Struthio camelus: one gene and its partners. The protein of the gene in region 1 purifies or fractionates together with the protein of each later gene. This does not show direct contact. Links are inferred from orthologs where the notes say so. Each region holds a gene or a part of one and is shown in the gene's direction. Other genes may lie near its edges. The genes, in order: SRSF3, LARP1 and NCBP3.

Region 1 (3,744 bases):
CTTTGGTGTGAAGCTAAAGGTCTGACACAGATTACGAGTTTACCAGATGAATGTTTTTAAAAATTGGTGAGTATATCAAAATTTAAATGATATTTCAAATGTAGGTTATGTGATATGAAGAAGGGTCTAGTAAACATTGCAAAAACCTGTCAGGAAGGGAGGCAAACATGGGAAATCACCATCTCAAAGAAGTCTTTGAAGTCAAATGGTTAATTGCAATTATTTCCTTTGTTTTTGTGGTCTCAGGAAATTAACTATCAGCTAATCTACAGTAAATTACGTTTCCTTAAGTTAAAGCTGATAACTGTCAGATAACTGTACACACGTTAAAGCTATTTTAGAGCATTGATTACGTCAAAATTCTTGTTGGTTTTCTGCCACTTGGCCCACTTTCATTCTTACAAGCCTTTTACTTGTAAGAGGCTCTTAGAACTAATGAAGGAGGCTGTAAAAGGATTTTTGGAAAATTCAAATGAATTATGTTAGCTGGTTGTCCTTAATCCAAATATTTTGACATGCTGGTAGAACTGCAGTAGATTGAGGATGTCTCTTCCTCTGCGGAATTCCTGGTCAGAAGACAAAACGCATACACATTAATTTGCGCCCAAAATACCTTACCCCATTTAATACTCCCAGTATTACTGTCCACACATGTATCAGATAAACTTGTCTTGCTCAGTCCAAGTCAAAAAGGTAAACTAAAGCCTAGACTGGTACATTAAACACAACCTAGAGATAGGGCTGCAAAATGGCATCTTAGTAAATTGCTGCAGAAACTCTCCTTGATGCGTTTCTTATGTTGCTTGAGATAACACAGAATAAGAAGTTTGTTCTGGAGAAAATCACTGTGTGTTTTTTTTTTTTTAACTACTCTCTGGACAGTCAGTTATGGACTGTTGCCAGAGTAATAATAAAGCACATCACCACCACGGAAAGCTGTCCTCTGACTATGTTCTCTGTAACTAAAATTCCTCGGTTTAAATCCCAGCTCTTCCGACTTGCTCTCAAGCGTCGAATAAGCCCTTTCTCTCCTTTGTGCCTCAGTAGGCACCAGCCAAAGCATAATAAAACCTACAAAAACCTCTGGGGTAACAGTGGTTTTGCCACGTAATTACTTCAAGGCCCGGCCCTTGGGGATAAGTAGCTATTTGCAACTCTAAGCTATCATATATGTAAAACCTTAACGATTCGGGCAAGAACCTGGAGAACACCACCTGAACGAGAAAAAGAAAGAAAAACTCCTTTTTCCTTTAAGCAAACAAGACAGCCTCCCTGGGGCGTTTCCCCTTTCCTTATTTCTGGGGCCTGAGGTCTTCCTCCGGTAAGCAGCTGCCAAAGGGGGGACTCGGGGCGAGAGGAGGACCTCAGCCCGCGGGAGGCGATCACTAACGGCCGCCGGCCACAGCCCCGTGACGAAACCCGCCCTGCCGCCATTTTGGGCCGCGCGGCGGGAATAGGCGTGTTCGGCGGGGGGGCGGGACGAAGCGGAATGTCAGTCAGCGGAGCGGCGCCCTCTGATTTGCCGTCGGCCGCCGTCTTGCGAGAGCGCGCTGCCCGTATATAAAGGCGGGCGGGGTAGGCGCCCGCCGCCATTTTGTCCAGTGAGGAAAAGCGGAGCGGGAGTCTCGTTGGGGGTCGAGTCGGCTACGAAATTAGCGCGGGCTCCCTTCGCGCGCCCTCCCTCTTAGCATCGGTGAGGACCTTCACCTCGGAGGGCGGGGGGGGAGGGGGGAAACGGCAGCGGCGGTCCCGGTCCCCGGAAGGGCGGATGGAAGTGGCGGGGCCCGGCAGCGGCGAACAAAGAGCCGCCGCCATTTTGTAAAGCCGGGCCCCGGGCGGCGGCTGCCGCTGCGCCACGGCGAGCCGGGCAGGGAAGAGGCGGGTAGGCCACGGATTGTCTTGAGGGGCCCGCTCGTCGCACTCTCTCCGCGACGGTGGCCAGTGGGGCGAGGTGCGGCCGGGCGGGGGGAGCCGCGAAGGTGCCGTGGCGCCTTGCCGCCCGCTCCGAGGTGGCGGTGGTTCGCCACGCCGTGCCGAGGAGACTCCAGGCACTTCCCGAGCGCTCCCGGCACGGTCCCTGCCGAGGATGGCGCCGCGCTTCGCCCCGGCATAGGCAGCTTCCCCCGAGGGCCGCTCCGAGAACAATGGAGCCCTTCACCCGCGCAGCGCTCCCCCTGCAGGCCCGCCCCCGCTGTAACCCCGGGGGCTGGGGCGGGGGACGCAGAGGAACACTCTTGTTCAAAGTTGGAAGCAATACAAATCGATCTCCCTGAGACAGTCTCACACAGAAATAACAAATTAATATTAGTTTAACAGTGAAGGCAAGGCAGCAACTTTTTTTGCCCGCTCTCCCCCAAGGTGCTCCCCTACCACCAGCCACATGCAAACAATGATATATCTAGGGTAGCCTGTCTTTATATATCAGATCACGGTGCTCTTGCAGTTTCTTGGACAAAAAAATCAACTGAATTATTTTCTGACCAAGTGAATAAACCGTTGTTGTCTGTTAAATATACATGAGCTTTTTTGTTTCTTTTTGACCTAGCAATGCATCGTGACTCTTGTCCGCTGGACTGCAAGGTTTATGTGGGTAACCTTGGAAACAATGGCAATAAAACGGAGTTAGAGCGAGCTTTTGGCTACTATGGACCACTGCGCAGTGTGTGGGTGGCAAGAAATCCTCCTGGTTTTGCCTTTGTGGAGTTTGAAGATCCACGGGACGCAGCTGATGCCGTAAGAGAACTAGATGGAAGGTAAAATGTGCTTCTTATGTGTGTGTGGCTTGCTTAATAGAAATAACAGAAACTGTAGCTAGTGATAGAGTTTAAAGCTGGGCAGCTTCAAAGCCAAGTGCTTAATGCGCTTGTTACACAAAATAACTTGTGCAGTGATTTAAGAGCAGTTGTATTTTATAGTGCCGATTTTAAGTAACATTGGGAGAGTTAATTTTACATTTTAGAGTTAAACTCTTAAGTTGGGTATGGCTTGAGCTTCTTATCTACATCAGTTAAGTTCAAGATGGTGTTACTATAAAGAGGTAAAACTGGTAAGTGGAGCTTCTCCAGGTTCCTTCACTTCCTGCTTTAGTAGTTTGGCTTGAGCTTTCAGAAGCGGCCAGACCTTTTATTGGTCGTGTTTTCTGTTTTTTTTAGACTCTGAATAATGTGTGTTTGGCTAAAATGTTGATGGAGTTCCCCCTCCTCCCCCCGGCCCCCCCGGTTATTCATTCCTCTTTCCTCTCCAATTCTGTGAGCTTCCCTTTTTGCAAACAAGGTCGTTGCTAGAAGTGCTAGCTAATGGCAGTTTCTTTTTCAGAACCCTCTGTGGGTGTCGTGTCAGAGTGGAGCTCTCCAATGGTGAAAAACGGAGTCGGAACCGTGGTCCACCTCCGTCCTGGGGCCGGCGCCCTCGAGATGACTATCGCAGAAGAAGTCCTCCTCCTCGCCGCAGGTACCCTAGGTCAAAGTACCCTCATAGAGCTGTTGGCACTGTTACCACTTAGCATTGTAGAAGCAGGCTTTTTAAAGCATGTTGATGGATAACGTTCATCTATCTGATCACAGTTTGGAGATGCCAAACGCTAAAAAATCAAAATCGAGGTGAACATAAGTTGTGTTGAATGTTGGCTTTTGTCCTTAGGTGACTGTGCAAGTTGGTAGTCAGCGCCCTCTATCCTGGATTTATCCTCTTTCCTCCTAAAATCTGCTCATCTTCTAGTCACACTTTCCCTTTCTTCCCCATACT
Region 2 (3,744 bases), on another chromosome or scaffold:
TATTCATTGCCAAATCTGCTGCTGGTAGCCTAGAATAAACTCATAACACAACTGTGGCGCAACCATTGGGGGGAATTATTTCAATCTGAGCCGACCCAAACTGCTGTACCTATTTCTTCGCTGTCTACCACATCGTGACCATTTAATGCTGGCGTACAACCTTTATTCCTGCGACGCCTCCGACGGGAACCGACGGCGTTTGCTTTCACCCCATTTATTAGTCATACAACAAGAGGCCTTACATGCCCCGGTAGTTCACATTCCCCTATTTTCTTGCAGAGGCTCTGGGCGTCTGCCCCCCCCGGCACGGGCAGGGCCGAGCCGCGGCGGGTGCCCTCGGCGCCCCCCCGGGAGCCGCCGCCGGCGGGCAGCAAGCAGGGCCCGGCCGTCTGCGCCGGGCAGCCGGGACGGAGCCCGGGGGGGGGAAGGGGAAGGGGGGCAGGAAGCGGCAGTGCGCGGAGTGGGCCGGGCCGGGCCACCTCCGCGCCACCGCGGCGCGGCCCCTTTAAGCGCCCCCCGCGCCGCCGGGCGTTGCATCAGGCACGTGCGCGCGGCCGGCCGGTCGGGCGGCGGGCGGGGGCGCGCCCCGCCCCTCCCCGCCCCTCCGCTCCCTTCCCTTTCCCTCCGCTCGCCGGTGGCGCGCGCGCGCGTGCGCGCGGGCCGGGGCGGGCCGGGCCGGGGCGGCGCGCGCCCCCGCGGCAGTCGCGTGGTCCCCGCGCGTCTCCATATTGCTGCGGCTGCCTCGGCGGCACGGGGGGGGGGAGGGCGGGCGGCGGCGCGGCTCGGGGGGCGCCGTGAGCGAGGGGAGTTCCCCGGCGGGGCGGGGGCGCGCAGATGGCGACGCAGGTGGAGGCGCTGCTGCCCGGCGCCCCGCTGCTGCCCGCCGAGGAGCGCGCCCTGGTGCTGAAGCCGCCGCAGGACGGCGGCCGGGAGAAGGGCGAGCCGCCCATGGGCCCCGACGGCGGCCCCGCGGCGCCGCGGCCGCCCAGCGCCAAGCAGCAGAAGGAGGAGAGCAACAACCAGGAGAAGGAGAGCCTGCTGCGGGCGGGCGGCGGCGCCGAGGCGGAGGAGGGCGGCGAGCCGGGCGGCGCGGGGCGCCGGGAGTTCATCGAGGCCCCGCCGCCCAAGGTGAACCCGTGGACGAAGAACGCCCCCGCGGCCGTGCTGACGGTGAACGGGCAGTCGCCTCCAGGTGGGTGCCGCGGCCGCCGGGGGGGGGGGGAGAGGAGGAGGAAGGGGGGGGGAGCTGCGCCGCCGACCCCACCCCGCCCCGGCCGCCCGCCCGCGCCATGCGGCACGGCGTGGGGACGGCGCGGCCCGCGGCGCCGGGGCGGGGGGCGCCCCGCGTGTCAGCCCGGTGGCCGGCGTGTGTGCGTGCGGGGTGGGGGGAGCGCCGCTCCCGGGAAGTAGGAAGCGTTGGAGCCTGCCGTAGCCATGAGGCGCGCGGAGCGTGGGCGAGGGGGAGGGGAGCGCGGCGCGGCCCGGGCAGTGGCCATGCGGCTCCGAGGCCGGGGGCAGGGGCGGCGGGGCCGGGGGGGGGCGGGAGGGAGCTGAGGGCTCGGCGGCGCCGCGGCGAACGTTACGGGGCCGCGGCGCCAGCGGCCCGGCCGCGTTCCGAACGTTCCGAGCGCCGGCGCGTGTGCGCGCGCGCGTGAGCGCGTGTGTGTCTGTGTCTGTGCGCGCGCGCGCCGCGGCGGCGGCGGCGGCCTCCCCTTCCCAGCATTCCGCCGCAGCGCAGGCAACGTGGTTGCTTCCCCGGCTCGCTGCGAGCATGTGATTTCCCCCGAGTGCGCGGCGGGGCCTCCCTGCTGCGCTCCCCGCCCCGGGAGGCGGCGGCGGGGCCCGGCCCGGCTCGGCTCGGCCCGGCCCGCGGCGCCCATGTGCTCGGCGCCCTGCCCACGTGTGCGCCCCCCCCCTCCCCCCCGCGGCCGCGCCTAGGCCGCGGCGGCGCCTTTCTCTGCCGATTCATGGCCGCGGGTGGGCCGGGGGTGGCCGCGGCTCTGCCCTTCCGCGCCGGCTGGCGTGAGCGCTGCAGGGCGGCTTAAAAGCTGCTCTGTAGCAGTGCCCGCTGCGGCGCTGTCATGGTATCGGGGCCTTCCTCGCGGCGCTGGGCCGCTTCGGGCAGCGTTCAGCGGGAGCGAGTCAAAGCGGTACGGGACAAACGGTGCGTTTGTAGTCCGCCGCTGTTTTAAGCGGAGGCTGAATTTGCAGAACACCATTTCCTTGTTAGTTGAGTAGATGTCATTTTTACCGAGAGGGATTGCCTAGCACCGACTCACTCCACATGGGTGCGAGAGGAAAACACGGAAGTTTTCGGTGAACATCTTGTTTGGGAAAGACTCTTAATTTTTCCAGTCAGCCTCTGTAAACACGAAATAACACTGCCAGATATGACGTCAGATTTCTCGTTACTGTATGTGCTAGCGTTTTGCAAGAACTGAGACTAACATGATGATTCATTGGAGGTACTGGTTTTTGGAAGATGGACAGCTCTGTGATTTCCACCTGGAAAGCTGTCATCTTACATGGGGAAAATAGAGGATACGTTAATTGTGCCAAGTGAAAGTCTGTTCAGGTAGGTTTTTGGTCTGTCATCGTATGCAATGATGTAAGCATAACTTAACAAAACCTAGAGCAGTTTGCTGTTTACGTTTGCCTCTTGGTGCGTGACATAAAGCCGGTGACGTTACTCCTTTACGCAAAAGTGAGGCTGCATCACGCTGCTTTCTGGAGTAACGTTCCCTAGAAATAAACCAAAAGGTTCAAAAATGCTGTATAATACAGGATGCTGAGGAGTTGAGGGCTGGTGTCTTTCCGGTTCTGTTTATTCCATACGTCATCATGGCGTGTCTCATCTACATCTACAACATCTACTGAGTTACAGTATCTTTTTTGTTTCTCACTGTTAAAATTACATATTTCTATTTAACATTAGGTAAATACAGATGTGCTCTCTGTGTCCCTTTCTACCTTTCTGTCTTGTATGTTCCTATTTGAGGCTTTAACGCTCATGTTTAAAGCTCATAGAGGACAGCATTCTGTTACCAGGCCCCTTGCAAAGCTGGGAGAACGCGGCGATAGAGGCTGAATGAACGGTAGGAGCTCTGTCAAACGCTGAGTTGAAGAGGAGGGGGTCTTTGCGACTTAGGAGGCGATTTTTAAGGGGAGCATGTGTGCCTTACGGTGAGGTAAGGAAATAATCTCGCAACACCTAGAATTCTGTTGGGCTTGACAGAAGTGTCCCAGTATTCCCGAAGGTGTTTAAATAATGGAATTGATTAGTGGTGCGTTTGTGATGCTTGGCAGCAATGTCTGGTTCATACACTGCTGCCCTAGACGCTGCTGCTTGGCTCTCTTGCGCTGGGGGCTTTGTTTCTTTTGCTGCCTGTTTCGTTAGCAGAGAAGAAAACGTGTAAAATAACCATGACTCTCCCACGAGAGGCAGACTCACAGCTGACCTTGCATAGCCGGCCTTCGCCTGAATGTGTTCTTCTAAACTTGGTAGGCCCCTGTCGTGTCTTTACTGCTTTGGGTAGAGGATTTGAAGAACTTTTGTAACTAAACTTTTGTAAAAGTTTACAAAAAAAAACATTTGGAGTGTGAGTTTGAAGAAGACATGTTGGCAAGGTGAATTTTCATGTTGCTGTGACTTCCAGAAGCTCTTCTGAGGAAAAAATGACTACTTTGTATGTGTAAACAAATTGGTGGGTTTTAAACTCTAGAAAGTCACCGTCAAAAACTTTT
Region 3 (3,744 bases), on another chromosome or scaffold:
GTCCATGTTACGTATGTGTGTTTGGTCTCTGCCATAACTGTTCACATCTGGTTTGGAAGTATCATGTTTCTGTGGTTCTTGCCAGATACTAGCTACATGATGTCAGCACCAAATATAGCACGCTGAGGAGTGCAGCTGACATTAGCTGTTGTGTAAGGACTTCTACACAGAGACTGTTAAAAATAGTAAGCCTGGAAGGTGTGACTTGTAGTGAGAAAAAATATTGGTCCCACTGGAGTACGTATAAGGGCAGGAGCCTTTACGTTGCCAGCTACAAAATCTCTCCACACCACGCTGGAAAAGTCAAAATTGGCTACTGAAATTTACTGGGAAGTACTATCAAATCAAAGGAAAGGCGACATATCACAGGGGATAATTTTGAGGGTTTTGGTCAGAAATTGTACAAAATTGAGGAATGGAGCAGCCCAAGAAATATGAGGAATTTCTACTGAAATTGGCTGGATGTGACAACCAAGGTGGATGTGTAACCTGAGCAGGTTAGTTTAAAGTGACTGTGAGCTGCAGATGTGATGCAGCTGACAAAACGCAGCTGCCACGGTGGAATATATCAACTGCGGTGTCTCGCCGCGGAGGGGAAGCGCTGATGCCATTGACTAAAGCCCTAGCGAGCCCTCAGCTAAAACACAGTTCTGGTCTGCTGTGTCCAGGGAAGATATAGCTGAACTACAGAGATTAGGATAATTAGAGGAATGAAGAATTTGTTTCATGATAATGGATCCAAACAGTGTGACTTAGCCCAGTGAAAGGAAGGCCAAGAAGAGCTAGGACTTTTCTGTTAAAATAGCCCAAACTCAGCCCAAGAACAATAGGCTAGAGACTTGCCATGAATAACTTTTAAGCTGGAAATTAGATTTCTTTCATCAGATGTGTAGAAATCCAGAAGGACCTTCCTATAGAACAGAGGGGAGCGGAGAAAAAAAAAAAACACACTAACATTTTAAGGAGTCAGATCATTATAAAAGTCATTGTAGAAAGCAGAGCCTGCGCTGACAAGGTCTGGACCTTACAACCCATCCCCTCCATCTCATTCTGTATTTCTCTGTACAGCATGTATTCTTTTCCCTACGACTTTTCTGCTTTGCTCTAATTTTCCAGACATAGGAGAGCACATGGCGGCGCAGCGGCTCATGTGAAAGGATCCCACGGATCCAAGGCCTGCTCCTCACACTCAGACGTTCAGTGCTGCCCAAGGCGGGGCAGGCATTCAAAATCTCAGCAAATTCACAACAGAAAAATCCACTCAGGGGTATCAGCTGCAAGCGACGCCATTGAGGGCTGGAGGAAGGCGGCGCGCCTGCCTCCCTTCGCCCTTCCCTCAGCGCCCCGAGGTCAGGGCCGCGGCGAGCAGCTGTCTGTGGGGAAAATGGCCGCTTTAGCCCTCTGCCGATCCGTAACGCTGGAGGACCCGCGGAGCCGCCCTCTCACCGCGTCTCTATGGCGCTGAGGCGCACCAGAGCGGGCCGTCGGCGCCGCTCCCGCTCGTAGCCTTGGGTGGCGCTCTATCCGCCTTGTGGCTCGGTGGTGGCTGTGGGCGGCGGCGCTCTGCGCCGCGGCGGGACCGCCTCGCTGGCCGGGCCGAGGGCGGGCCTGGCGGAGCCATGGCGGCTGTGCGGGGCCTGCGGATCTCGGTGAAGGCGGAGGCAACGGCGACAACGGCGGAGCCCCGCGGCCCGGAGCCGGAGCCTATGGAGGTGGAAGAGGGCGAACTGGAGACCATCCCCGTGAGGCGCTCGCTGCGGGAGCTCATCCCGGTGAGGGGCGGGAGGTGGGATCGGGGCAGGGGGGCGAAGGAGGGACCAGCCCCGGGGGAGGGAGGAGGAGGGCCGGGGGCCTGTGAGGGGGTTTGGGGGCGCCCGCGGGGGGAAGGGGCGGCGCCCGCGAGGGGGTTGTGAGGGGATTTGAGGGAGGGGGGCCGGGGGCCCCTGAGGGGAGTGTAGGAGGAAGCGGCCGGGACGTACTTGGGGGGCGCAGGGGGTAAGGGAGTCGGTGGGGAAGGGTTTGAGGGGACTGGTGTGGGGCTGGGGGTGGCAACGTGAGAGGAGTGCTTGGTAGAGGGGACACGGGGGTGACCCTGGGGAAGGGGGTTGGAGGCACTGGGGTACGGGGCTTTGAAAAGCGGGGCTTGAAGGATTTTTTTTTTTTTTAATTTATGCTAATTGCGCCGGATACAATCTAGTGAGGAGAGCTTTAATACTTAAAAAGTAAAAAGTGGGTCGGAGGAGAGCTAAACTCCTAAGTCGTCTGTTTTTTTTTTTTTTTTTTTTTACTCTGAAAACTTCTGTGGAAGTTATTGTAGAAATGATTCTCTAATTAGCTAATGTGCTAGCATGCTTTAGCTCCTACCAACTCTGTGGTCTAAGAGACAGCACCTTACTCCACTTCTTTGTTTTTCATGAGTCAAACCCAGGCAGTATTTTTTCCAGTTTCAAGTAATATATTTTTGTTCCCTGTTGTAATAACTCTTCACGTTTTGCTGCTCCAGAGGAAGTCTGACCTGTTACTAAGAAAAGGGGTTAGATTCTGTGGGCTTTGCTATCTCTAAACTGAGACTGGATTACTTCCTGGAAAAAGTGCTTTAGCCAAAATAATTATTGCAACACAAATGTAAACAACACATTTACACCTACCTGGTGATGGTCCTGAGGGTACCAGTGCCAGAATGAAAAGGCGCCATTGTTACATAAAGCAAACAATGGAAGGGATTGAGTTGAGTGACTGGCCCAGTGTCTATGGGGTTTAGTGCGGTCTTGCAAATTCAGCAGACCGGACTGATGAGAATGAAACTTGTGATTTGTTTTTTTTCCTGCGTTGTTCTTAATATTTACTCTATCAAAAGGTTTGTATCCAAAAAGTTAATGTTTCGTATTACTGGGTTTTTTTGGAAATAAGTTGTAAAATAATGAATGGAAGAGGGATGAAAGTTGCTTGTTTAACTGTGAAAAAGGGTTGGTGTTCTGACTTTGACTGTAACTTGAAGTTGTAAATTGGAACTCTAGGAGTCTGCTATCTTTATGGTCTGAACGTTAAATCTGTTAATGTTTTCCAAGGAGATTATACCTGAAGTTAAAATTGTGGCAATTTTAATTAGAAAAGGTTTTTGATCACTTCCATTGCATTGCTGAGACGGGGTAAGTAAAAACCTTAGCGGTGGCAGATACAGACACTGAATATTACCAAAGAAGAGAGTCTTCATATTAAGGAAGTTTGGTTCATTTGATGTGCACTCTCACTCACGTCAGTGAGAGTTATGTTTATATACCTATTTAGGGATGTAGCTTGGAGTATGGATCAAGAGGATGGATTTCTTGTAGAAATAGCCCCTTTTTTTTTTTTTCAGAATAGCAAGTTTGTTGGTTTTGGTGTTCATCAAGATATCATCACCGTTCTGCTTTATTTCAGGACACTAGTAGAAGATATGAAAACAAAGCTGGAAGTTTCATCACTGGAATAGATGTAACCTCCAAGGTAATTTTTACCCTGTGGTTCTTCAAAGCGTTCTCATTGTTGCTGCTGCGTAGGAGGAAGCATTTCATTCCTTCCTAAGAGGCACAGAAGTTTAGCTTCATGTTCAGATAGGTGGTATTTTTTAACAGCTAGAGAATTCTTCTTTTGTTGGTTATGCTTTGTCTCAGGATGTGATGTCTCTATAAGCTGTAAAAATTAGCATTTTTAAGTTACAAGATTTGTGAAGTCGTAGCTTTATGAATCTGCATCTTTGATTTT

Evidence for each region.
Region 2: the proteins of SRSF3 (region 1) and LARP1 purify together in Homo sapiens (co-immunoprecipitation; 3 studies listed by BioGRID and IntAct, with this or other methods). This does not show direct contact. The link is inferred for Struthio camelus from reciprocal best matches to the Homo sapiens genes SRSF3 and LARP1.
Region 3: the proteins of SRSF3 (region 1) and NCBP3 purify together in Homo sapiens (co-immunoprecipitation; 3 studies listed by BioGRID and IntAct, with this or other methods). This does not show direct contact. The link is inferred for Struthio camelus from reciprocal best matches to the Homo sapiens genes SRSF3 and NCBP3.

Annotation. Positions count from the first base shown.
Region 1 is NC_090965.1:4,705,345-4,709,088, forward strand, and holds the start of SRSF3 (serine/arginine-rich splicing factor 3), read left to right. Parts: upstream 1-1,478; 5' UTR 1,479-1,693; intron 1,694-2,545; 5' UTR 2,546-2,547; coding exon 2,548-2,753; intron 2,754-3,315; coding exon 3,316-3,450; intron 3,451-3,744. UniProt on the Homo sapiens protein: Splicing factor, which binds the consensus motif 5'-C[ACU][AU]C[ACU][AC]C-3' within pre-mRNA and promotes specific exons inclusion during alternative splicing.
Region 2 is NC_090954.1:12,071,037-12,074,780, reverse strand, and holds the start of LARP1 (la-related protein 1), read left to right. Parts: upstream 1-819; 5' UTR 820-834; coding exon 835-1,192; intron 1,193-2,480; exon of another isoform or gene 2,481-2,575; intron 2,576-3,744. UniProt on the Homo sapiens protein: RNA-binding protein that regulates the translation of specific target mRNA species downstream of the mTORC1 complex, in function of growth signals and nutrient availability.
Region 3 is NC_090957.1:15,832,468-15,836,211, reverse strand, and holds the start of NCBP3 (nuclear cap-binding protein subunit 3), read left to right. Parts: upstream 1-1,116; 5' UTR 1,117-1,619; coding exon 1,620-1,772; intron 1,773-3,420; coding exon 3,421-3,486; intron 3,487-3,744. UniProt on the Homo sapiens protein: Associates with NCBP1/CBP80 to form an alternative cap-binding complex (CBC) which plays a key role in mRNA export. NCBP3 serves as adapter protein linking the capped RNAs (m7GpppG-capped RNA) to NCBP1/CBP80.